3 linked regions of the Lepisosteus oculatus genome follow. The protein of the gene in region 1 interacts with the protein of each later gene in a pairwise test. Links are inferred from orthologs where the notes say so. Each region holds a gene or a part of one and is shown on either strand. Other genes may lie near its edges.

Region 1 (7,746 bases):
GCATCTATAATGAACGAGTTAGCTGCCCAGAACAAGAATGTAACAGGGGAAGCACTAAGAGACACCGCGATCGCTTTAAAATGACCCGACATTGATTTTTCACCTAATTCCACATCAATACCCACAGTGACTGGTCTGGCTGGGCATTAACGCTCCAGAACTGCACAGACCGGTGACTGCAGGGCAGACAGGCACTGAGATCCACCCCACCCATCGCTTCATCTTTCCTGCAGGCACAAGGCCCGATTTCCAAACCAAGGGGAGCAGACTGCAAGAGGCAAAATCCATCACTTGAACAGAGTGACGGAGCAGGAGGAGGAAAGCAAAAGGGAAACCGGAGCGCAAAACGGAGCAGATTTGGAAAATTCCCCAAAGCAGTTTCAGCAAACTCATTTCTGCGATGACACGATCAGAACAGTTTGAGCATAAAAGCCATTTTTTTTCCCCAACAGGGAAATTCACTGCCATTTCTAACACCAACAATAGTAGCAAGAGTAACATTGCCACAAAAGTACATTTCTAGACTTTTTAATGCAGAATTATGGCAGCACTTGATCAAACACTGTTTAGTGAGAAAGTTAGTCTTCTGAAGCTCTCTGTAGGATATCACAGAAGTACTCTTGCAAACTGACGCTTGCCTTTTTATTCCAGGCCTGAAAACTCAGGACTCACTCGGCACTAGATTCTGTTTAAGGGCAACAGGGTAATGGGGATAAAGCTCTCCACCCCACTGCAGGACTGCCAAATTCCGAGCCGGAAAGATCCAGCAGATACCATTCTTAATGGTTTCATCACATGGGCTCACACCAGCCTGAAAGATGAGCACTGGCTTCCGATGAATCGGTACAATTGGTATAAAGTCGGAACTTGAGGTGAAACGCAGGCCTTATTTCCTATTGTGGGATTTTAAATTGGCAAGAAACATCCAGAGCTGATTGTGTAGAAAGTGCTAGAAAAGGTCAGCCTTCTCATTCAAAGGCTTTTTTCCTTAGGAAATTAAGCATCACTGCTTATTAGCTCAACCTGCTAAGATGACACGAGGTAGGCAGTAGGGAAGACATGGAGAGTCCCACTCCTGGAACGATGCAATCCACTCCCAGGATTTACTCTGAGTTCCTGTCATCCAACACCAGGCCATGTTTCATGCCTGCCACCCATATTTGGAGGAAACTTTGGTGTAAGCAGTTCTGTGACCAGCGCAGGTATGTGCAAGAACTGTCCGGTGGCAAAACCCGTCACGGATCAAACTGCTCCACATCGGCGGTCTAAACGGTCCAAAATAACGAACAAGAGCCTAGGTTAACAAAGGCACAAGGTCAGAGTATGGTCTGGGAGCTGCGAGGCAAAACCAGAGACAAAATCTTAATTTAAAAACCAAATTCTAAAGCCACTCCACTCAGGAATTTACACTACATGGTGGAATACTGGCACCTCACAGCAAAAATACTGTATACTGAAATTATCTCGTGTGCTTCTCAGCTCCCAAAACCATGGGGTGGTAGAAAATTTCTATATCAATCTGCTTGAAAGAGTTCCACTTAAGAAACGGGAATGTTCCACAATGTGACACCGCCTGTTACTTCAGTATGAATCTTTATCGATAAGTTATCGATACCTACAGCGGTGTGCCAGTACGTGGTTTCAGGACGCTGTGTTACATGTGGCTGAGATTGCAGTATTAAGCATGGGCTTTCAACACGAAGTGTGAAAGGTTGCAACTTCTGTCCCTACTGGCGTCTCGCAATAGGCTTCCAGTGTCTGTGGTTTAGTCCTTGCAGTGGGATAACTGGTGGGGTGACCAAACACGAGCTGAAAGCAGTATTTCCAGGTATAAACAGGAGAAAACGAGACCGACGCCAGGACTACAGCTGCAGTTAAGGGAGAAAACCAGTGGCGTTCCCCCAGAGGACCAGTTCTTGAACACCTAACCTGGAGCGACCGACTTCTCCGACATGAAGATGCGCTGATCTGCGGGTGTAAATGCAGAACAAAGCGAAACCACCGCACCTTGGCGAAGCTTTGTTTATATCATGGCGAAATATAAAAGAAACGCACCGCTACGAGCGGACAGCAAAGTGAAGCCATGTGGATTGTGTTTTTCGTGGCACGCAGGTGTGAAGCCGAGATCGCCGGTAGGAACACGGGTTAGGAACTACTGCAGGTCTAGCGCGTTCCCATGATGAGGATCTGTCACCTAAAACCAACGCAATGAAGCTGGAAATGATTTGAGCTACCGATTTCATGTTGCACGGGAAAAGGAGGCCAGGACGGGACCTCGCCCGCAGAAAGAGCGGTCACCCCCCCCCCAGCCTTCCCCAGACACCCAAGACCCCAGAAAGATACAAAGAGCCGTGCGGGCCTGGACGCAAATCACCGCCCAATCCGACACAAACAGAAGCCTTGGGCTCCCTTTTTCAGATCGTCCCCTGGCGTTTCCGATCGTTACCTTGTAAAAGGCCCCGTTGGAGCCACGGACCTCCACAGCCAGGCCGTCCATCCTCGCCGCCTCACGGAACCCCCGGTGCTCCTCCCGCTCGCCGGCTCCCTGTGACTCCGGAAGACCCCCTCGCTGCCCCGGCCTGCCACCGCCGCCGCCGCCGCTTCCCGGCCGCTTGTGGATTTCCAGTGTCCCGGGGTTTAGACGGAGAGAGGGACGGGATAAGTGAGGGGAGGGGGGGTGGGGGGGGAGAGAGTGTTCTGGGTGACGCCGGATCTGGGCGCTGCTAAATACGCTGTCGAAGTGCTGGTCGGATGCAGTCACACTCCGGGGACGAGAAACTCATGCAATCCGCCTGCGCTCCTGATGAGCTCGGGGTCCGACACTGCTGGCTCAAGGCGACGCAAGCAACGCTGTCCGTTTGTGCTCTTCAGCTTTTCATGGGTGGCAACAGTGGGGTGATTGTAATGTATTTAGTGTAGTTTTGCCTCCTCCCCAGAAGCTGGCTGCGCTACCGCAGGTGAGCGCCACAGCCCGTCCCCCAAACCGCACGCCGACAGAGTGAGCCCGTGAGGCCCTGAATGACCCCCAAATCCCTCCTCTCCGTCACACACGGCCCGCCCATCCACTCACCCTCCTCTCCTATTGGCTCAGATCCACGCCTTTCAACAGAATTCCCTTTTCACACTAACTTCCTTACACATCCCTCCCTCTTGCCCTCCTCGGTAATCGACTCTGCAACTCTCTTTATTGGATATGTTGGTTGTCAATCAGCGCGTATTCTCGATGTGATTGGGTTACTCCATGTACATCCTTTGATTCTTTGACGCTAGAGATGGTCGAGTGTTTCATTACCGTAATTCTCAGTCAATAAGCGCAATTCATGAAGCATGGTTCCGGTAATACAATACTTAAGAGTAATTATAATGATCTATATTTATTGCACAGGATATACATCTTTTGTAAGTGTGTATCCGTTGTGTGCTAAAGAAACTTTTAGGGTTCGAAAACATTTACCCTTTCGAGTTAAAATAAATAAATAAAACAATAAGCTTAACACTTTTAATGTAAAAATATATGTGTAAATAACGTAATTATTTAATATTGTTAAGTTCTGAAAATGTATCATATTTATTATCAGGTTAAATATACAGCTATTTATGGCGTTCATATAACGCATATTGTTTCCCGTCTTTTTTTTATAAAAGGCACTTGAAGCGTTTTAAAACAGCAGTTTTCAATTACATATTGGAAGTGTCCTAGAAACGAATTGCTTTGTTTTTTTATGTGAACAATAAAAAAAGGTCGCGACTTTGGTAAGAATGAAGTATGCTCACTCTTATTTCTGGACATTGCCTCTGATTGACCGTTTTATTTATTTTCCCCTCGAACAAACAGAGCCCTATGAAAAAGCTAAGAAATATTTCTAAGGTCTCACTGCGGGCTGTCACAGAGCACAGCAGAATCTCATTGTGTGAGGTGTAACAAAAATGCCATCTTCCCATTCAGAATTACAACACAACAGGAGTGTAAATTTCTGGGGTTTTGTAGACCACAGCGGAAGACTTTATAAATCGAGAGTAAAAAATCTGCACATCCTGTATCATAGTTTGCAAAGGAACAAATAAAGGTTCATTCCATGCTGAAAAGAGAAGAAAAGAAACAAAACGTTTCAACCTTTGTGTTTGTTGTGTTTCTTTTCTTCTCTATTCAACATGAAATAAACCTTTATTTGTTCCTTTGCAGCTGACACATACTGACACAGCTACAGTACCTACTTGAACTGTATCATAGTTCTCCATCTGTCTGTGTGGACTAGTGAACATAGAAACGGTTACAAGACCAGAGAGGAGCCCAGTTGGCACATTTGGTAGTTTGTAGTTATATGATCCCAGGATTTCATCCTCTTCTTGAAAGAAACCAGGGTATTGGCTTCAACAACATGGATAGAAGGCTTGTTCCACACTCCCACCACCCTTTGTGTGAAGATGTGCTTCCAGGCCTGATTGGAGGATCTCAACCACCTGTTTTGGGGGAAAAAAAGGGTATCAGCCTCAACAACATGTCTGGAGCAGCTTGTACCATACTCCCACCACTCTTTGTGTAAAGAAGTGCCTTTTGTTCTTGGTTTTAACAGCACTTCCAATAGTTCCCTCTGGTTTGAGTTTCACTGTTTCTTGGATCCATCTAATACTCAGATCGATCTGGGTTCAAGACTTAAGAGGTTGAGTTCCTTCAGCCTGACTGCTATGGTCAGATGTCCAGAGATGGCTGTTGGTTACAGGAGGGAGTGCCCTAGCACATGACACCTGTGCTACACAAAGAAAGAGAGCACTGCCATTACAGTTCCTGCCAACTATTGGATATAAACCCTGCACATGTGTGGATTCTAATAATCTGGCTTCTCCACAGATATCCCAGTAGATCCACTTACTGAATGCTCATAAAATCACCCAAAACAGGACCGGACAGTCAATTTGTGACCGGATCTCTGCAGGTTTTGGAGAACTCGGCACCCCCTTCCAATCCCAAAGAATGACCATGTGGCCAGCCTCTGTCTGCACCTCTTAGCTGACTTGAAGGATTGTCTCTTTGTGCACTGTGTCTGGAATAAACAGGTATGCTTTCCGAAAACAAAGCGTCAGTCAGCACTTGTCAAGTCTTCGTGTCACACATAGCCCACATCTACTTCAAGATGAAATCCCTTTATATGTGTGTCAGCCAGGATATGGGCAATGTCTGAGGAAATGGATACTGATAATTTAGTCTTTGAATCGAGGTGTGCCAGTCTTGATTGCTCTTTATTGATGTGTGGTCACAGACAAGGCTATGGTTGACTTGTAACACACCTGCCCCTAGTGTCGGGTGTATTTTGTGCTGCTGGAAAGCACTGCTGAGTCCAACTTAATAATTACCTGTCTCTCCAAAGTCCTACTGTCCAAACAGAGCAGTATTTTAGTATTATTAGCAGCATTTTTGATGTTCATTTTGCTTTTTGTAGTTGCTGTTTTAATAGCCTTTAACTGAAGAGAGACAGTGAGCCTGACTAGTGTCCAGGTTTCTTTGTTAGCACATCTTGGTGGGATATAAATGTGTCCAAACACTGCAAAATCAGATTTTTATATATTATTATTATTATTATTATTATTATTATTATTATTATTATTATTATTATTATTATTTCAAAGAGATTATACATTCAGATCTATGTATTTAAAAACATTTATTATTTAAAATCCCCATCTGTGGTACATTCATAATATTTAAATTTCCTAGTGAAAACTGACGCTGAATATTTCCTAAAAAGTTAGGGTTTTATATAATGTATACCTTTACTACCACAACTATTGCCACCCCGTGTTGGAAACAAGGTTTATCATTAATTTAAAAAAGTATTAATTGATTATTAAAATATAAATATCTCTCACAGGAGCCTCGTCTTAATTTATGGAACACCCACAATCAGTGCTAGCAAGTAATACCAACCAAAAGTTGAGACATTTCAGTGGGCTAACTGGAGTCTGATACAGTCTGCCGATTATTTGATATGAAGCTGCATATATATATATACAAAATGTATTGTGTATATTTGACACTTAAATCCATTAGACAGTTTTAGAGTGGATTTGCTAATTTTCCAGGAAGATAAAGGGCACCAGGTTAAAATGTGCAGGAAAGTGAAAACGCAGTCCCCTCAAGCTCATTTTCTCCCGTGGGAAGGTCCCTCTCACTTGTCCTGTAACACAGAATGCGTCTCGCCCAGTGATTGACGTCAGGCAGGTGACAGGACAGCTGTGTGGCACCGAGGACCCCAAAGTGACATGTTCAGCTGTCACAAGGGAGAGCTATTTTTACCACCTGCCCTGACTGCACAATTGGTGGGCCATCTTTATCATGTACGTCTTCTGTTACAAATGGTGTGTTTGGACAGCAGCTTCAGCGTTTTTTCACGCTCCATATGTGTCACTCTTCTGGGGAAGCACAGCTTAAACATTTCTCCAAGCAAAAATTCAGTTTCGCAGGGGAGCATTATTTTAAAACCAACTCTAAAACCATTTTAAAACCAAGTCTAGGTCCATGTGCATTCACTCCCTTAAACAGTATGCAAAGCATCCACTAAAATTCTTTAACGTTATAAAATGACCTGTAGGGACCTCTGCTGTCCAGCCTTTGCTCACAAATATTAAAGATTTCAGGATTTTCACAGAAATATTTTAGTCCTTCCTAATGCGTTTCACATAGATTTTTAAATCATTGTACTGTAGATCCACACAATCATACCTATTTAGTTGTACTTTTTGTAGATGGATTTTGCATTTTACAGTAAATTAATCTTGGTTAATACAAATATCAAACACATGACTCTAAAAACTTTTCAGTTTGAACATTTTAGTTTGGTAGTGTATTTAAAACCAAGAGGAGGAGGTATTTCTTTACACAAAGAGTTATGGGATTGAGGAACAAGCTGCCCAGCCATGTTGTTGAAGCAGTCAAGAAATGACTGGATGAGATGTTTGGAACAATATACTACCAACAACCCAACAGGGAAGATGGGCCACATGGCCTCCTTTTACTTATAACTTTTCTTATATTGTTCCTATAACTAAAAAGTTGCAGCAGTAATTTGGTTGATATCTTTATTCAAAACAGCTTAACACAATAACGTTATGAAAAACGCAATGCATAAAGAATATAATAAGAAGCCTGCATGTGTAATTATTATAATAAAATTGGTTTATCCAAAACAACTTGTAACAATTTTTTAAAAAAGCAACACATCATGAATGTACTTTAAAATTGCATTCAATTTCTGAACAATATGCATAGTAAGACAATTAAATAGCTCATTTGGTTTTAATTTGATACAGTAATGAATTAGCTGCCTAATTAATACCCTGATGCAGTGGTGCATGGCTCTTAATCAGCTCCTCTTTCTTGCAGAGTCTCTCTGATTCTTATCCATTCACCTGACAGGGGGCTCCCAGGCTGAGGTCGTCTGAGCTGAGGGCTCTCCAGCACTGATGGCTTTAAGAATAGTTCAGCTTTGTGTGGCTCACCCAGCTTCTAGCAACCTCATAACCCAGGATCCCCTCTTCTGAATGATCCTCAGTGACTCATCACATGAGTCAGCAGTTTCTTCCACAATCTGTAGTGTGCCTAAATTTAGATGGATGAAGCACAGCTGTCTGGCCTCTGTTCATGCCCTTATAAGAGTTTACTGTGATATTACTGTGTGTAGTAAAACTAAAGAGGGTTAAATCATAATGACACTGGTAAAGGAAGGAGTGGCATTATTAACCTTAACACAA
Region 2 (7,590 bases), on another chromosome or scaffold:
GCAAAAACAGGCTTTAAGCTTCGCTCTCAAGTGGAGCTGTGAAGTTCAGGATTAGGTAGAATAAATCGGAGAAAAATCCTGAGTAAGAAGATATACATTTGTGTACAATTCTGCTCCCTTTCAGAGCTCTCAGCTGAGACTCATTACTACACAGCCAGGAGTGTCCTGGTAAGAGGTTCTACAGCTCAGTGGGGCGGAGGACACAGGCGAATGGAAGTCAGGACGAAAGCATGTCTTTTTTAACTTGGTGATTACTTTGTGATTTCTCCTGATGTCCTGTAGATTCAACACTGCTGTGACTACACTCCTTACAAAGCTCTTTACAGTTCCAGCCTAAAGGATCGAGTAATCTTAACAAGCACCTTTGTTTCCCAGTTTTTAATAAGGCTGATCTGCTTGAGGAGATTGGGCCAGTGATCACTTTTCTGACGAGAAACAGACTCCTCTAGAAAAGAACATTCTGCTGGACTTAGGTGACTTCACACTACCCACACACTGCATCTGTTTTTCCATTCTTTAAGATGGTTGGGAAGGATGATTTAAACATCCTTCTCAGAACTCTAGACAACGCAAGGGAAATGGCTGATGCACCAAACCAGTGTTTCACTCAGGAGTTCACAAAGAAAGAAGTCAGCAACATGCCCCAGGCAGGAGCAGGAAAAAAGTACTGTATTAAATATTATTACCATAGAAGAGGCAGGAGGATTTGGGGAAGTAGAACCAATCAAGATTAATGCATCCCCAGGGACAGATGGTATCTTACCAACTGTATCCAAGGAAACAAGAGATATGATTCAGAAGCCACTGGCACAACTGTTCCAACAGTCACCAGACAGGTGTAGCACCCAGGGACTGGAGAGTTAATCATGTAGTACCCTTCCATAAAAAAGGCGAGAAAACTGAAGCTCGTAATAACAGAAGAGCAACACCAATGTCTATTACATGTAAAGTAAAGGAAACAATTATCACAACTGAACTAGAGGATCACACTGTATGTAAGGAAATAATATCCCAGGAAATAGTTAGCATTAGTTTAGAAAAGGAAGGTCTCGCCCGATCAATTTGTTAGATACAAGAACAAGAAACAGCAGCAATGGACTCACACAGACCATACAATATTCACTTCAGAGATCTGTACTAGGACCACTGCTCAGCCGAATTTATACCAACTGTCTACATTCTACTATAGTTCGCAAACTAGACCAGAATGCAGACAACACCATTTTCATTGTAGACACAAGTGAAATTCACAAAGATTTAGATCAAATTCAGGACTGAGAAATCTGCTGCCAGATGATATGTAATGTACACAAGTTCAGGGTTCTGTATGCAAATTGTAAAAACAGAAATACAAAAAGGATACACTACAACACATTGAGACAGAAGAAACTACTTATGAAGAAGACCCTGTTTATATTGACACCATCTTCTAGCCCATATGGGGAAGCAGTAAAAAAGGCAAACAGAGTTAGTATATTTATGTAAAATCTTAGAGTTCCCATCAAGGGATGTTGTGTCAAAACTGTACAGCGCATTTGTTAGGATTCATTTAGAAAACCATGTACAATTCTGGTTACCAGAACACATACACTCAATGATACGATGAGACAGACAGCCTGTCAGACCCACACAGACAGGATGAAGAACTGAATCCATACACGCTTCCCAAATCTTCCAAGACACTGATACAGTCAACCCACTGGACTTCTTCAGAATCAATAGTGAAACGCCAACTAGAGGACATCCGTGGTATTTAACACTGAGAACAGGAGGAACTTCTTTAAACGAAGGGAGCTGGGAGTGTGGCACAATCTACCCACCCACGTGATTAAAGCTTATACCTGGGTTTCTATCAATAAACACCTGGATGAGACCCTGAAGAACTCTGTACAAAAAGGGAGGTAGGAGTGTGGAACGAACTTCCCACCCATATTACTGAAGCTGACACCCTGCACCAATTTCAAGAAACAGCTGGATGTGATCTTTAGATCGATTATTCCTTGCAGAAGTATTCAGATCCTTTTTTATCTCTCCTTTTGCCAGCTTCTTCATCTAATTCAGGGTTGTCGAGGAACCGGAGGCTATCCCTGCAAGCAACAGGCAAAAGGAAGGTACACACTGGACAGGACGCCAGTCCATCGCAGGGTACACACAGACACAAACACACTCACACCACGGCCTGTTTTCCATGAACCCAATTAACCTACCAGCATGTCTTTGGAATATGGGAGAGCACCTGAAGGAAACCCCACAGAAACACAGGAATAACATACAAACTCCACACAGATAGCACCTCAGGTCTGGGATTGAACTCAGGACCTCAGCTGTGCAAGACAGCAATGCTAAACACTGCACCACCTTCCTTCAGACTTTACAGACTTTACAACGTGTCCAATGTTCTGAAATTGCAAAATACAGTAATGCAGACATTTTTTTTTAATTGACGAAGTGTAAACTACACATTAAGATAAGTTATAATAAATCTCAGCAAAAACTAAAAAGAACAAAACACGACTGGTTAATTTCTCAAGCATTCAGATATATGCACTCAATACTTTCCAGAGTTTTTTTTACACATTATTTGGATACCTCAGACACTGTTTAGGAACATGTTGGCCCTGTGTCTGTGTGAGAGCGAGGGACACAGAGGGACAGAGACACCGTGGCCCGAGTGATCAAACTGTACTCACAGGTATCTGCTGTGTTTTTTAGGAACACATTTGCAGTGTGGTGAGGATCTGTCTTTCCGGCTTCCACAAACGCAAATCCAAACTTAAAGACTGTGAAGAGGGAAATAAAACACAAAAATAAGTGTTTGAGGAAAAGATATCGTAGGGCTGCCCTGATCCTGGAAGGCAGGTGTAAGTCTAAGTCTCCCCAAGAGCAGCAGCAGTTAAGACTTGTCATGTTAAACCCATTTGCAGCCTGACTTTAGTCAGGAATAGATGATTGGGAATAATGTCCAGACGCTGCAGCCCTCCCGGACTATACTGAAATATATCCTTACATCGCTATAAAGTACGAAACTCTTAATGTCGTTTTGTTTTACCGATCGTTTTAGTACAATATCAGTACTAAAATACGAGATAGTTACAGACCCAACACTAGTAAAACCAGCAATCTTCTACCATTAATCTAATAATTAGGGCTAATTACTCCATGCTAAGTCATTTTTTAGGAGCTGTTCGAAAAACAGGTACAGCATTTATCGTGGGTAAGTTGCAGTTAAGCTCTTTGATTTGAAATACGCGCACTTTATCTGACTGAACATGAAGCGCTACTTGGACAAGTATTTAAAAAAAGATTCCGTTAGAGAACAATGCGGGACACGCAGTCGCGGTAACCCAGCCTTTTTAACAAAGAAATGCTAAAAATGTCCTCTGGGTTACCGGTCTCCAAGACCTTCAACCGCACCTCTCCGGCTGAAGAAGCTGGGACAGGTTTCATACTTTATCATTTTCAATAAAACATTGGCCAACTGGCGTCTGGTGGGAAAGGTTCTCCCAGTAGCTACTCCACTTACACAGCACCCACACGCCGCACAGCACGGTGAACACGTCATTGACCGACTCCAGATCCACGGCGCCCATTTTCTACCAGCACACTCGTACGCGGGCGGTGACCTGAAATTAATTAATTGTGTGAATGAGTCGCCTCTCTGCGGCTACGCGCCACATCAGCGCTAACATCCGTCCGTCAACCGCCCCTGCCGCTCGAGGCCGCTAACGGCCGCACTTCCGCCGGCCGTCCACGCGCGAAGTCCATCGAGGTAAGAGTCACGACGTCGACAATTCGTTTCAAAGTAAAATGTATTATAGTTTTTTATTTTAAAAAAAAACTTTAAATGCCTGATGGCGAGCCTACATAATACAAATACAATCACGCTCCCATTTCTTGAATTTCATTTTCTACAAAAATGGACATCCAAAAACATCCAAAAAGCAACAGGAACTACAGTCAAGTTACAGACAGGTGCGAGAAAACGTTTTCCGTCTAGAGAACAGAGACGAATTATGGGAATGTCAACATGAATTCAACTCTGGCCGTCTCACAGAGATGGAAACCAGAAGAAACATAGAAAACAGACAAACTATTGAAGTCAGTTTGTTTACAAATTCCAAAAAACAAGATACTTCTTTTACAACTGTTAAATTCTCGTAGTTTATCTCATATGAAAAGGCAATGGCTACTGATCGCCGTGCATGAACGCCGAAGCAATGTCCATATGTGCTGTTAGAGTCCGCAGAGGAGAGGGCCAGCGGCCCAGACCAGACCGCCTGTAGGGGGCAGGGTGGCTGACTGGACTCACAGGCCGTTCTCAGTGCCGCGACACAAACAAGCAATGAGAGTAACAGCTGTCTCAGTCTGTCCTCCCCACTCTGGTCTTGTACAGTTTCTCTCTCCTCCCCTGATCTGTGTGTCGTGGGGCTGCAGGAGGACTGAACCCCACTCTGGTCTTGTACAGTTTCTCTCTCCTCCCCTGATCTGTGTGTCGTGGGGCTGCAGGAGGACTGAACCCCACTCTGGTCTTGTACAGTTTCTCTCTCCTCCCCTGATCTGTGTGCCGTGGGGCTGCAGGAGGACTGAACCCCACTCTGGTCTTGTACAGTTTCACTCTGCTCCCCTGATCTGTGTGCCGTGGGGCTGCAGGTGCAGAACAGTGTCACCCAGGTGGTTCTGCAGTTCTGTGGTGTTGAAGTGGGTTCCCTCCTGTGTGTGGAGCTCTATACAGTACATGCGAGGGAGCCTTTTCACGAATAGTTTTTTTTCATTGTTTTTTTTTTTTTTAGTCTTAGCAATATCGGCGTCACAGCAGCACATGGAGGAAGTGCAGCCACCAGTTTCTGAGAAGAGCCGAGGGCTACAGCCCTGGTGCAGCACAGGGGGACGGGGCAGTTCCTCCTGCAGTCTTGCCCACTGTGTTGCGTCAGGCAGCCATGTGCACCATATAGTCCTCCCTGACGGTCTGAGGGGTCCTACACAGGCTCAGAGACTGTGCTCAGAGACGGGGCCTGTGGTCCAGTGGGCTCCTTAACGAGGGCTGGGTTTTTATTAACAACCCCCCCCCACGCAGCACCACTCGCTTGTCGGCCGGAGGATTTTTCAAGAAACTCAGGAGGAAGTAGTGAATGACGCCATTTGTGTTTCTTCGAAAAGCCTCGCTTTCGTGCCGTCCGCGTCGTCTCAGTCTGTGCAGCAAGAAGGGGCTGTTTTCTCCCCCCCCCCCCCACCAGACCCCCCCATCCGAGGTTGACAGCCCTGGTTTCGCAAGAGGAAGATGTCAGCATTCGTTCAGTCTTGAGCGCTTCCTTCCTGTCTCTCTCTCTCTCACTCCCTCGGTGTGAGCTGTTTGGTGCGGGCTCGTTCTGCTGCACAGTGCGTGCAGGCCATCTCTCTCTCTCTCGCTCTCTCTCTCGTCGGGCACCTCACTTCCTCCGCAGCGCGGCGACGCCAGAGCTCAGGGCGTAGCAGCGAAGCCGCGGGAGCCATTTTCTTGGGGCCCTCTCCATCCAGCATGCCGAGCAGGAGGTAACCGGGCAGGAGGACGCGGTCGGCCCAGGCTCGCTCGTTGCCCGTTTTTCGGCTTCTCCTTCTTCTTCTTCTTCAAGGGACTCGGATTCGGAGCGGAATATCTCGCTACGTGAGGGGAGCAACATGAGTTTCGACCAGCTCCCTAGCCGGACTGAAGTCCTGGGCTGGAACGCCAACAAGCTGGCAGAGTACCTCAAGTCGGTGAGTGCGTCAGGCCCGACCCCGGCGCTCTCGGGTTTGGTGCGGGCTGTCCGGGGCTTCGGCACGCGAGACCGGGCCCGTGGCCCTCGGCTCTCGCGCTCAGCCCAGCTCCTGGGCCTGGGGGAGTCAGTGTCTCTGCGCTTGGTTTTTTCGTGGGAGAGGACGATGATCCAGATCGCTCCCTTTCTGGGGCAAACCCGCCTCTTGTGGTCAGCTGCTCCGTCCACTTGGGTTGTGTTGTCGTTATGGAAGCCTTGTCTCCAGTGAGTTAGCGTCGCCCGTAGTGTGCTAGCAGCGTCGTCTCCAGTGTGCTAGCAGCGTCGTCTCCAGTGTGTTAGCTTCGTCTCCAGTGTGTTAGCGTCGTCTCCAGTGAGTTAGCAGCGTCGTCTCCAGTGAGTTAGCGTCGTCTCCAGTGTGTTGGCGTTGTCTCCAGTGAGTTTGTGATGTCTACTGTGAGTTAGCGTTGTCTGCAGTGAGTTAACTACACCATGTTAGCGTTGTCGACTGCATTAGCATTGTGTACAGTGAATTAATGTTGTCTCCAGTGAGCTGGCATTGTCTACAATGTGTTAGTGTTGTCTGCTACCTTAGTTTTGTCTGCAGTGTGTTAGCGTTGTCTACAATGTGTTAGTGTTGTCTACTGCCTTAGCGTTGTCTACAGTGAGTTTGCGTTGTCTACAATGTGTTAGCATTGCCTACAGTATGTTAGTATTGCCAACAATGAGTTCACATTTCCCACAGCAAGTAGGCATTGTCTCTAGTGTGTTAGCATTATTTGCAGTTTGTGAGCGTTGTCTTCAGTGAGTCAGCATTATCTTCTGAGTCAGCATAGCCTTCAGTAAATCAGAGGTGTGTTAGCGTCGCATGCAGTGTGTTAACATCACTCACACTGTATTAGCCTTGCCCACAACAATTTTGTGTTGCCAACAGCGAATTAGCATTGTCTGCGATGAGTTAGCGTTACCTGCACTGTGTTAGTATCACCTGTCAGTGAGTTAGCATTGCGTACAGTGAATTAAGCATTGTCTACAGTGTGTTGGTGTTGTCTACAGTGAGTTCGCGTTGTTTACAGTGAGTTAATGCTGTCTGCAGTAAATCGTCATTGTCTCCAGTGTGTTGGCGTTGTCTCCAGTGAGTTTGTGATGTCTACTGTGAGTTAGCGTTGTCTGCAGTGAGTTAACTACACCATGTTAGCGTTGTCGACTGCATTAGCATTGTGTACAGTGAATTAATGTTGTCTCCAGTGAGCTGGCATTGTCTACAATGTGTTAGTGTTGCTTGCTACCTTAGCATTGTCTACAATGTGTTAGTGTTGCTTGCTACCTTAGCATTGTCTGCTGCATGCTAGCTTTGTGTGCAGTGAGTTAGCGTTGTCTACAATGTGTTAGCATTGCCTACAGTATGTTAGTATTGCCCACAATGAGTTAGTATTTCCCACAGCAAGTAGGCATTGTCTGCAGTGTGTTAGCATTATCTGCAGTTTGTGAGCATAGCCTTCAGTGATTCAGAGGTGTGTTAGTGTTGTCTGCAGTGTGTTAACATCACTCACACTGTATTAGCCTTGCCCACTGCAAATTTGTGTTGCCTACGAGTTAGCGTTGTCTGCGATGGGTTAGTATCACCCGTCACTGAATTCGTATCACCCATCAGTAAATTATCATTGCCTACAGTGAGTAAGCATTGCGTACAGTGAATTAAGCGTTGTTTACAGTGAGTTCATGTTGTCTGCAGTAAATTGGCATTGTCTCCAGTGTGTTGGCATTGTCTCCAGTGAGTTAGCTTTGTCAAAAGTGTTGACGTTGTCTCCAGTGTGTTGGCGTTGTCTCCAATGTGTTAGCGTTGTCTACCCTGAGTTAG
Region 3 (7,827 bases), on another chromosome or scaffold:
ATAAATGTTATAAGAGTCCTTAAAATGTGTAGTCTTTGAAAGTGCGAATCGCCCAAAGAACTCCCTTTGGCCCTTGTTTATTTGACGAGAAATAAAAAGTATATTTAAATATAGCAAAACGGACTCGTTATATTTTGCACGGGCCATGGTTTTGCTGGTTTCTGGACTTTATCAGATCCCAAATACGTCCTTCGAACATTTACTTCCTACAAACAGTTGTTCAAAACGATCCCAATATTATTTTTCGGGTGCTGCGTCTTGTGGCAGCGTGATACCACCTCAACATGGTACTCCCTTACATCTGGCCGAAAGCCGTATTTTGGCCTAGATCTGCACAAACGCATTCCCTAAAGAAATAACTCGATTATCGCTCGAAGAATCGAAGCGACGTGGAAGACAATCGCAGCCTTTATTTTCCTGCAGACCGCGTCTGGTGACTGTGCCACTGCAGAATGGTGACATGAGACCTTTTGGCAGTTGCCAGAAACCATAAGATGTCAGTAAGAGGATGGTGTAATACACACAGAGTGAATTTATTGTGGCATTAAAACTTCTCACCTCTTATCAAAAGGGACTTCTTCAGGCTACCTTGCTCATTGGCCCGAGTTGTGGTGATGGATATTTGAATTGTCTAGTGACATAATGGTTTCACTGATCTCACAGCACAAACCCCGACTTGGAAACTATCAGGCGTAGCAGCGCTCTGCTCAGCGTTTCAGTTGAAACTTGGCATGACATCACGAATCCCGACTTCACAGTTCTTCCGCTTGTACCTCTCATGCCCCCTCTTTACTGGGATTATGAAACCCAGTTGGTGTGAATTTCAATAGGATCGTGCGCTACCAGTTTGATCACAGAATCGAGAAGGTACCTTTTCAGACAGACGCGCACCATTAATATGACAATTCTTTCAATAAAGAGCAAAAAGCTCTGTGAATGGGAGGTGGCATTTCTTATAATCTCATACCGGATTCATCACCTATTTTGATGGTTAACAACACTGGATTGTTTTCCGCAAGGATGATATCCTATACATATTTTCCCTTATCACACACCCGCACAATAAACAGAGCAGGAATCAAGACAGTCTACCTGAAGCGCATCGGATTAATCGGGAAACTAAATCGCGTGGTTCGTTTGTTTTAAACACTTATTTGAAAAACCACTAACCACTAGCCATCTGAAAGCACTCAAGTGGAATATACGCACTGCCCATACCTGTATTATGAGTTAATATTTACGAACAAAGGTGTCAGCTTTGAAAACGAACTTCTTAGCTGTACAACAGCAGCAAACTGAACCTGCTAAAAGTGAAGAAGGCTTTAATCCATCAATTAGATTGGATTGTTTGCGCATTCTCTGCACAAATACAAACAGGATGCCACTGCCTCACGCTGTCAAGAAGGCTCTTACGCTTGCGGGTACTGTCGTTGTTTTTTAACTAGATGTTATTAACGTTACTGTGCTGTTATAATTATCACCATCACCACCCCATCTGAAACTGAAAATGATCTCCGCCGGCGTAAGTACACTATCAAGACGGAAAAGACCCGAGGTTTTCAAGAAACTAGCATGCACACGCGCAATCGCGTCCCATTGTGACCACTATCGCGCTGTATTCTCCGTGTTCATCCATTTCTAATAGCGCGCATTGGAAGCAGTCAAGGAACGGCTCCGCTACTCATTGATTTAAGTGCGTTTGTCTCTTTGGACGCGCTTCTTCGCCTCGAAAGAAGAGAGATCTGTGCGTGACGCGCTTCAACAGCCATAAGCATAAATACCAGAATCACATTTAAAAACAAAAGTTTTCACAGTTACCTGTGTGATGCGAATACAAGCGTCAGTCAAGAAAAAGCAGCTGGCTGACAGCACTGACCCTACAGACACAAAGTAACTGGAGATCGAGCACAGCAGGACTTTTCGTGGGCACGAGAAGTTTGCAAACATACCTGTAAAAGCTCTGCACGAAATACCACCGTGGTTGAAAATAGCATCTCTTTACGCGCACGTGTCTTAATGCACATTTAACCCAGGATTTGGAAGTAATTTCCATGCAAGAACAGCAGAGGCGATTTCTTTCATAAATACGACTGTTTCTTGCGCTCACATCACTGCACATGTACATGCAGTATTTATGGGCACACAATACAGCAACCTTTCCCCTGCCGCTCGCAGCTCCCATTTGATAAATGTTATTCGGGTGCTGGCCTATTACACAGTTGCACTTTCATTTATTATGGTGTTGTGCGGCTTTGAATATAAATCAAATCAACAGAAAAAAAAACATGAATTAAAATGTTCAATGTCTCTGTAAAACAAGAGCCAGTATGCATTCTGGAAAGATTGCTGGTTTCCGCTATTTGCACAGTTACTTTTAGAAATTTGTTGTCGCCTTCAAAGTAATTCCTCCGTTCTAACCTGTGGAGACCCTAGGGGAGTAATAATTTTGCAGTTTACGTGATATACATTCGAGAAAAGCCAAGTGATTTAAACCTGCATACAAAAATAGACAGGTTCCCAATTGGTTAGCCTCTTTTTTTTTTTTAAAGAGATGGAATAAGAATGCTGTAGGCCTCCGTCACAAGGTATAGCAGTTATTTTCTAAAATATCCTGCATGAATAAGTCATTCTTCATCGTTTTCGCAGTTTTAGGTGACTGAGGTTAGAGGTCAGCCTTAGGAACCACTTATATAGGGATCTGAAGTCACCAGGTACAGCCAATCCCGTGATTTCCCTGTGAGAATCCGAAGAATTTAGCTTCCTGAATTCAATGACTCCGCCCCTTGATGACTCACCCGTTCTTCCAACCGCTACTTTGCTACACAGTTCTTTAGCAAGTGGTGGTGATGGTTGGATTCGCACAGCGGTGCACACAGTCAGTTCCAGCACTCCTTTGCTGCGGAGAAAGCCCACTCGGCTACGTTGCGCTTCATTCTGCCTCTGACGTTTGCCAGGATCCTCACTCCCAACTTTGTGTTGTGCTGGATGACAGTGTTCCTCACATTCCACAGTCCTAGTATTGTGAGGGACACTCACTGCCACGGCACACTGGTAGCTTAGCACTGTTCCTACTCCCAGGAGTCGTACAGTGTTTTCCATTCTTCCATGCACCACTTTGGTGAAGGGGCAAATCCAGAACATGTGCTCCGTTGTCTCCTGATAAAACACGTGTCCTAGGGGCAGTGTGTGTTCCTGGTCATCAAGTGTCTGCCAAGGTCCTCTCTGGTCACCAGCCTCGGCTGCACAGCCTTCCATTTGAGGTCCTCCAGCTTGTTTTCCAGTTCTTTGAGTTGAGTCCACTCCCAGGTCTCATTTGGGGTTAGCAATTGTGAACCAGTTCCCCCCTCTGCTCCTTGTATAGGGCTCAGTGGTGCAGAGCTCTGGCCATGTCATGGTCTCGTATCTTTGGTTCCTCTTGACAGCGTGGGTGTGGATTCCTGGTTGCTTTTCTGCTTTTGGCCCCGTGTTTGACCACAGGAGCAGGTGCCTCATCAGGAGGGAGAACCACAGCCTGACTAAGTACTAGTAGTTGTGGCTGATCAGGTCCCATAGTGTCACGATCGTGACCCCCTCCTCTTAAGGACACTCCAGCCCTTCCTTGTTCAGAACTCATCCCCTGCACCTGCCTCCGGTTCCTGCCCCTCGTCCTATAAAAGCCGGGCGCTCACTGTCTTCCGGGCTCTGCACTGGTTTCTGTACCAGGCGAGTCTGGGACCTGGAAGTGCCTGGTCCCGTCAAGCTTTTAAGTTCCTGTTCCTGCCGGTTCCTGTTTTTATTCTGTTTGTCTTGGATGGACCGTCCGGTTTTGGATTTTCGCCTTCTCTTGGATTCCCTCTTGGACGTCTTTCTGGATTGTTTGCCTCGGCCACACCTTCCCCAAACACCAGCGTTCCATGAACACGCCCCCTGTTTTCATTCCCGACTCCCGCAAGCTTTTTCCCCATGTTTTCCTCACTCTACCCCGGATCATGTCGTCTGCATAGGGTCCTAAAAGAACGCTTCCGTTACACATAGTACCAAAAAGAGGCTGCAGGCACACCATGGCAGGGTAACTAAAGCCACAGGATGTCAGATTTCGGCATCACCTTCCAAGTGAGGGTCAGTGACCATGTTTTCCACAGACACAGCTTTGATTTCACCCTGGCAATCCACTCTGTCCATTCACATGGTTATCTAATACGGGTTGTTCTGTGTGTATTAGAGGATGCAATGCAGTCCATTCCAGCATAGGGAGCGAATTACCCGTTTTCAAAATCTATATTTAAAGATCATGCAGAGTGACAACATTGACACTTCACTTTATTTTCCTGAGGTTGTGATTAAAAGTAGGCTATGACCATTTGTTATTTAATCAACGCTATCGGATAATTGTCTTTCTATCAAAGAAAACAAATTACTCTCATTCAGAAGACTTAAAAGGCAAACGCGTCTTGCAAAGCAAAATATATAAAAAAATCTATTCAATCTAGCATTTGTGACAGCACGTGGATTTCTACGTATCTGACAGGATTCTTTGTCTCTTTGTAAATGTAGTTAACCGATCTAGAAAGGGGCATATTTTCGTTAGTAAATAGCAGTTACTGTTTGGAAGATTTAATATTAACACATGTTCCAGATGGACGAACAAGGAAAAGCTATGCAGTGTCTTGATAATAAGGATGCCCAGCTAGTGTAGCTGTTTTTTTTTTCCAAATAGACATCCGAAGGGCGGAACCTAGCGCTAATAGAAAACGAGTCACACGGTCATTTGACGCAGCGCGCAATTCCTGTGCGTCGCTCTAGTGACGCAGAGCGGCGCCTTCACTGTGTCGGGGTGAATTCAGAGCTGGCGATGCTTAAATTTGATTTTTCAGTTATTTTAATAGTTTAATCTGTGAATGGCGCCAAAACAGGACCCTAAGCCTAAATTTCAAGAAGGTAAGGAACGATTTAATCAGTAAAATTTTGGAGTGGAAGCAGGCCTGCGTTTCGCCCTGTGTGTGACTGAGGGGTAGGGCGGCGATTTGCAGTCACTCCACGGTGTTTGTGTAGATAGCAGAACTGAAAAACGCGCTTAAGTAAAGATTAAAACCTTGTTCAAAAAGGAATAAAACTACGAAGGGCCAGGGCGGATTTTTGTTTTTAGCAATTTAGCTAGCGAAATGTTCACTTTCCCAGATTTATTGGGTGCATTTTTCTAAAGGCCTAACATCTATGAGCTAGCTAGTCTTTTTCAAGTAGAGTGATCTATTGTCTTCGTTGAAGAAAAAATAGGCTATAAAATATCTTCTTTTTGTTTGTGTCTGTAATTAGTAATGTAAGGAGAACAATGAGTTTTTCAGCTAAAACTTAAAAGATTTAATTTTGGACTTTGAGTCTTGATTGTCACCGTGTGTTTGAGCGTATTCTTCGTCGAACCCTGCTTGAGAACCATATTTCTTGTCCCTTAAAACAGTCGAATATAATCGATGCTTCTCGTCGTATCTGAAATAAGTTCCGACCTTTACATTAATATCTGTTAGTAATGCTAATTTATGAGCAAATCAGCTTTTCATATATACTTTTCTTAACTTAGGTTTGATAACGTTGCTCTGATAATTCGTCCTTCTTTGGCTAAGGTAATTATTTTAATTTTTTTCTTGATATTTCAGCAAACAATGTTTTACATTTTTTTGCCATGAAGTAAAAAGTTGTAATGTGGAAAAGTCGCGCTTTTTCTTCACATAACGTTTGTATACAGAAATATCACATTGTGCCAGCACGGTGTAACTAAATATAGTTATGTAGCGACTACTTACCTCTTCGAAGCTGTAGCGAGAGAAAGAGAGATGCAGCTTCTTTTGTTGATCTTAACCTGCATGCGATATTCTGACAATTTAAAGGTTCACACCAAGGTATTTCTTCAGAAGCCTCAGTGAGTCGTAGGCCTTCCTGACATGTACCACAGCAAGAGTTTACCAATGGGCACTTAAATCCTTGATTAAAAACAGTACAATAACCCAGATTTGCATTCAAGTCTTGTGGCTTGCCAAAACGTGCCACTTGCGTAGCCCAAAAATCTAGGGTCGGCTCTTTCTTTCTGTTCGATTTGAAACTAAGTGACCTAATACTTTTAAAAGGGGTCCCAGTAAGCGGTTAACCCTCCAGTTTTTTGCGTCTGTGTGAAGAGATCTAGTGTTCTGTGATAGTCTTGCGAACTAAAGTTAACATCAATCAACTTGCAACTAGGAAGCAACAACTGTCTGCTAGATATTAGCAGTGCTTTGTAAACCTTGGTGAGTCTCTGGTACTTAATCACTCTTATAAACATGAAGATACACTAAGGTGTATCTTGTTTTCTTAGCAGTACATTATTTAAACTTGGGAACCATAATAATTAATAATAATAATTGCTTACACTTATATAGCGCTTTTCTGGACACTCCACTCAAAGCGCTTTAGAGGTAATGGGGACTCCCCTCCACCACCACCAATGTGCAGCCCCACCTGGATGATGCGACGGCAGCCATAGAGCACTAGTACACTCAGTAAGGCTTATCCGCATAAGGCTTGCATCAGTTTCCCTATCCTAGTCCAAATGGAAAACTCTCTTGTGGTTTGTGCTCTGAGTTCTTAATCACAGAACAGTTAATTTATTTTCTGTCTGGGGGCCATTTTTAAATTTGCTTTCAGATTTTAAACGGTCAAATGGAATTTGTAATTGGTGTCAGACCTGTAGTAATGTCTGAAACTCCCTAATTTTCTTGTTTCCTGGAATGTAACCAATCAGATCTCTAGAAAAAGGGGGAAAAAAGCTCTTAGTGGGAGAGTTTAAGTCAGTGTCATATTTGCTTGTCAGTTCATTATAAATGACTTATTAGGTGTTCAGAGAAAAACAAGTGTAAGCAATGCAGGAGAGGCTCTTTGTGCTGACGTTATTGAAAACAGTATGCTGTATTTAAAGTAGTGTATGTTTTAAACTCATACCGAAGGCAGAAACAAATTAACGAAGTCGTAAGCAATCAAATCAACTAAAGGTAAGAGCATAAGTACAATTACAAATGACACCAGGTCAATCGAACCATCTAGCCTGAATAGAAACATGGTGGGAACTGCTGGCTAAATGCAATGTGAGTAACCCAAGAAAGAAATTAAATCCAACTAGAAATACTGTGTAAAAATAAGAAGGCTGCATGATGTTTTAAGACTTAGGTATATTTGTATTGGGTACATTTACTTGAAATATAGTTCTGAATATAGTGTGTGCGTAGCCCATATGGTTAATATTTGTCTTAAGAAATGTACAGGCAGTGTGTCTGTATGTTAGCAGCATAATGATTAGGGTTTTTGTCTCCTGAGTGGAGGGTTATGAGTTCAAATCCAGGGTGGGACTGGTTTTGTACTCTTGAGCAGGTACTTCACTGATAATGCTCCACTAAATGTCCAGCTGTATAGATAAGTCGCCAGGTTTCCACTGGAAGTGAGAATGTTGTGCATGTAATTAGCTGGTGAACTAAAGGAACGAATTATGGTGAAAGGAATGTCTGAGAAGTGCCTGCATGTAGAGGTTTCAATTATGCAGTCTTTCCATCTTGAAGCAGATTACAGTTCACTGTAAGCTATATTTAAATGTGTATGGATGTTTTACAAGTATGTAGTACTGCATCTATACATATATGGAAATTAGACTTTTCTAAACAGACACTCGGATTTAAAAGAACACCAGCCTCATTGATGTCGGCAAGTTTGGTTTCAGTTTGCCGTATATGAAGACGGTATAGAAATTAGACAAGTCAGGGGCCACGGCCTACCTTACTGCACCCTGTCCCTTGTATCATGAGCACAGAGCCTTAAAAATGAGTATAACTG

The links.
Region 2: the proteins of fxr2 (region 1) and lcp2a interact in binary tests that used the Homo sapiens proteins (3 or more experiments, as listed by UniProt). The two-hybrid records come from large-scale screens. The link is inferred for Lepisosteus oculatus from reciprocal best matches to the Homo sapiens genes FXR2 and LCP2.
Region 3: the proteins of fxr2 (region 1) and morf4l1 interact in binary tests that used the Homo sapiens proteins (3 or more experiments, as listed by UniProt). The two-hybrid records come from large-scale screens. The link is inferred for Lepisosteus oculatus from reciprocal best matches to the Homo sapiens genes FXR2 and MORF4L1.

The regions. Positions count from the first base shown.
Region 1 is NC_090698.1:11,918,110-11,925,855, reverse strand, and holds the start of fxr2 (fragile X mental retardation syndrome-related protein 2), read right to left. Parts: upstream 3,015-7,746; 5' UTR 2,498-3,014; coding exon 2,447-2,497; intron 1-2,446. UniProt on the Homo sapiens protein: mRNA-binding protein that acts as a regulator of mRNAs translation and/or stability, and which is required for adult hippocampal neurogenesis. Specifically binds to AU-rich elements (AREs) in the 3'-UTR of target mRNAs.
Region 2 is NC_090706.1:29,680,420-29,688,009, reverse strand, and holds the start of lcp2a (lymphocyte cytosolic protein 2a), read left to right. Parts: upstream 1-4,517; 5' UTR 4,518-5,655; coding exon 5,656-5,733; intron 5,734-7,590. Other genes in the region: putative ammonium transporter 1, read right to left, coding at 2,691-2,780, 3,524-3,590. UniProt on the Homo sapiens protein: Adapter protein primarily involved in signaling pathways within T-cells, as well as other immune cells such as platelets, mast cells, and natural killer (NK) cells.
Region 3 is NC_090700.1:48,885,962-48,893,788, reverse strand, and holds the start of morf4l1 (mortality factor 4-like protein 1), read left to right. Parts: upstream 1-4,754; 5' UTR 4,755-4,877; coding exon 4,878-4,917; intron 4,918-7,827. UniProt on the Homo sapiens protein: Component of the NuA4 histone acetyltransferase (HAT) complex which is involved in transcriptional activation of select genes principally by acetylation of nucleosomal histones H4 and H2A.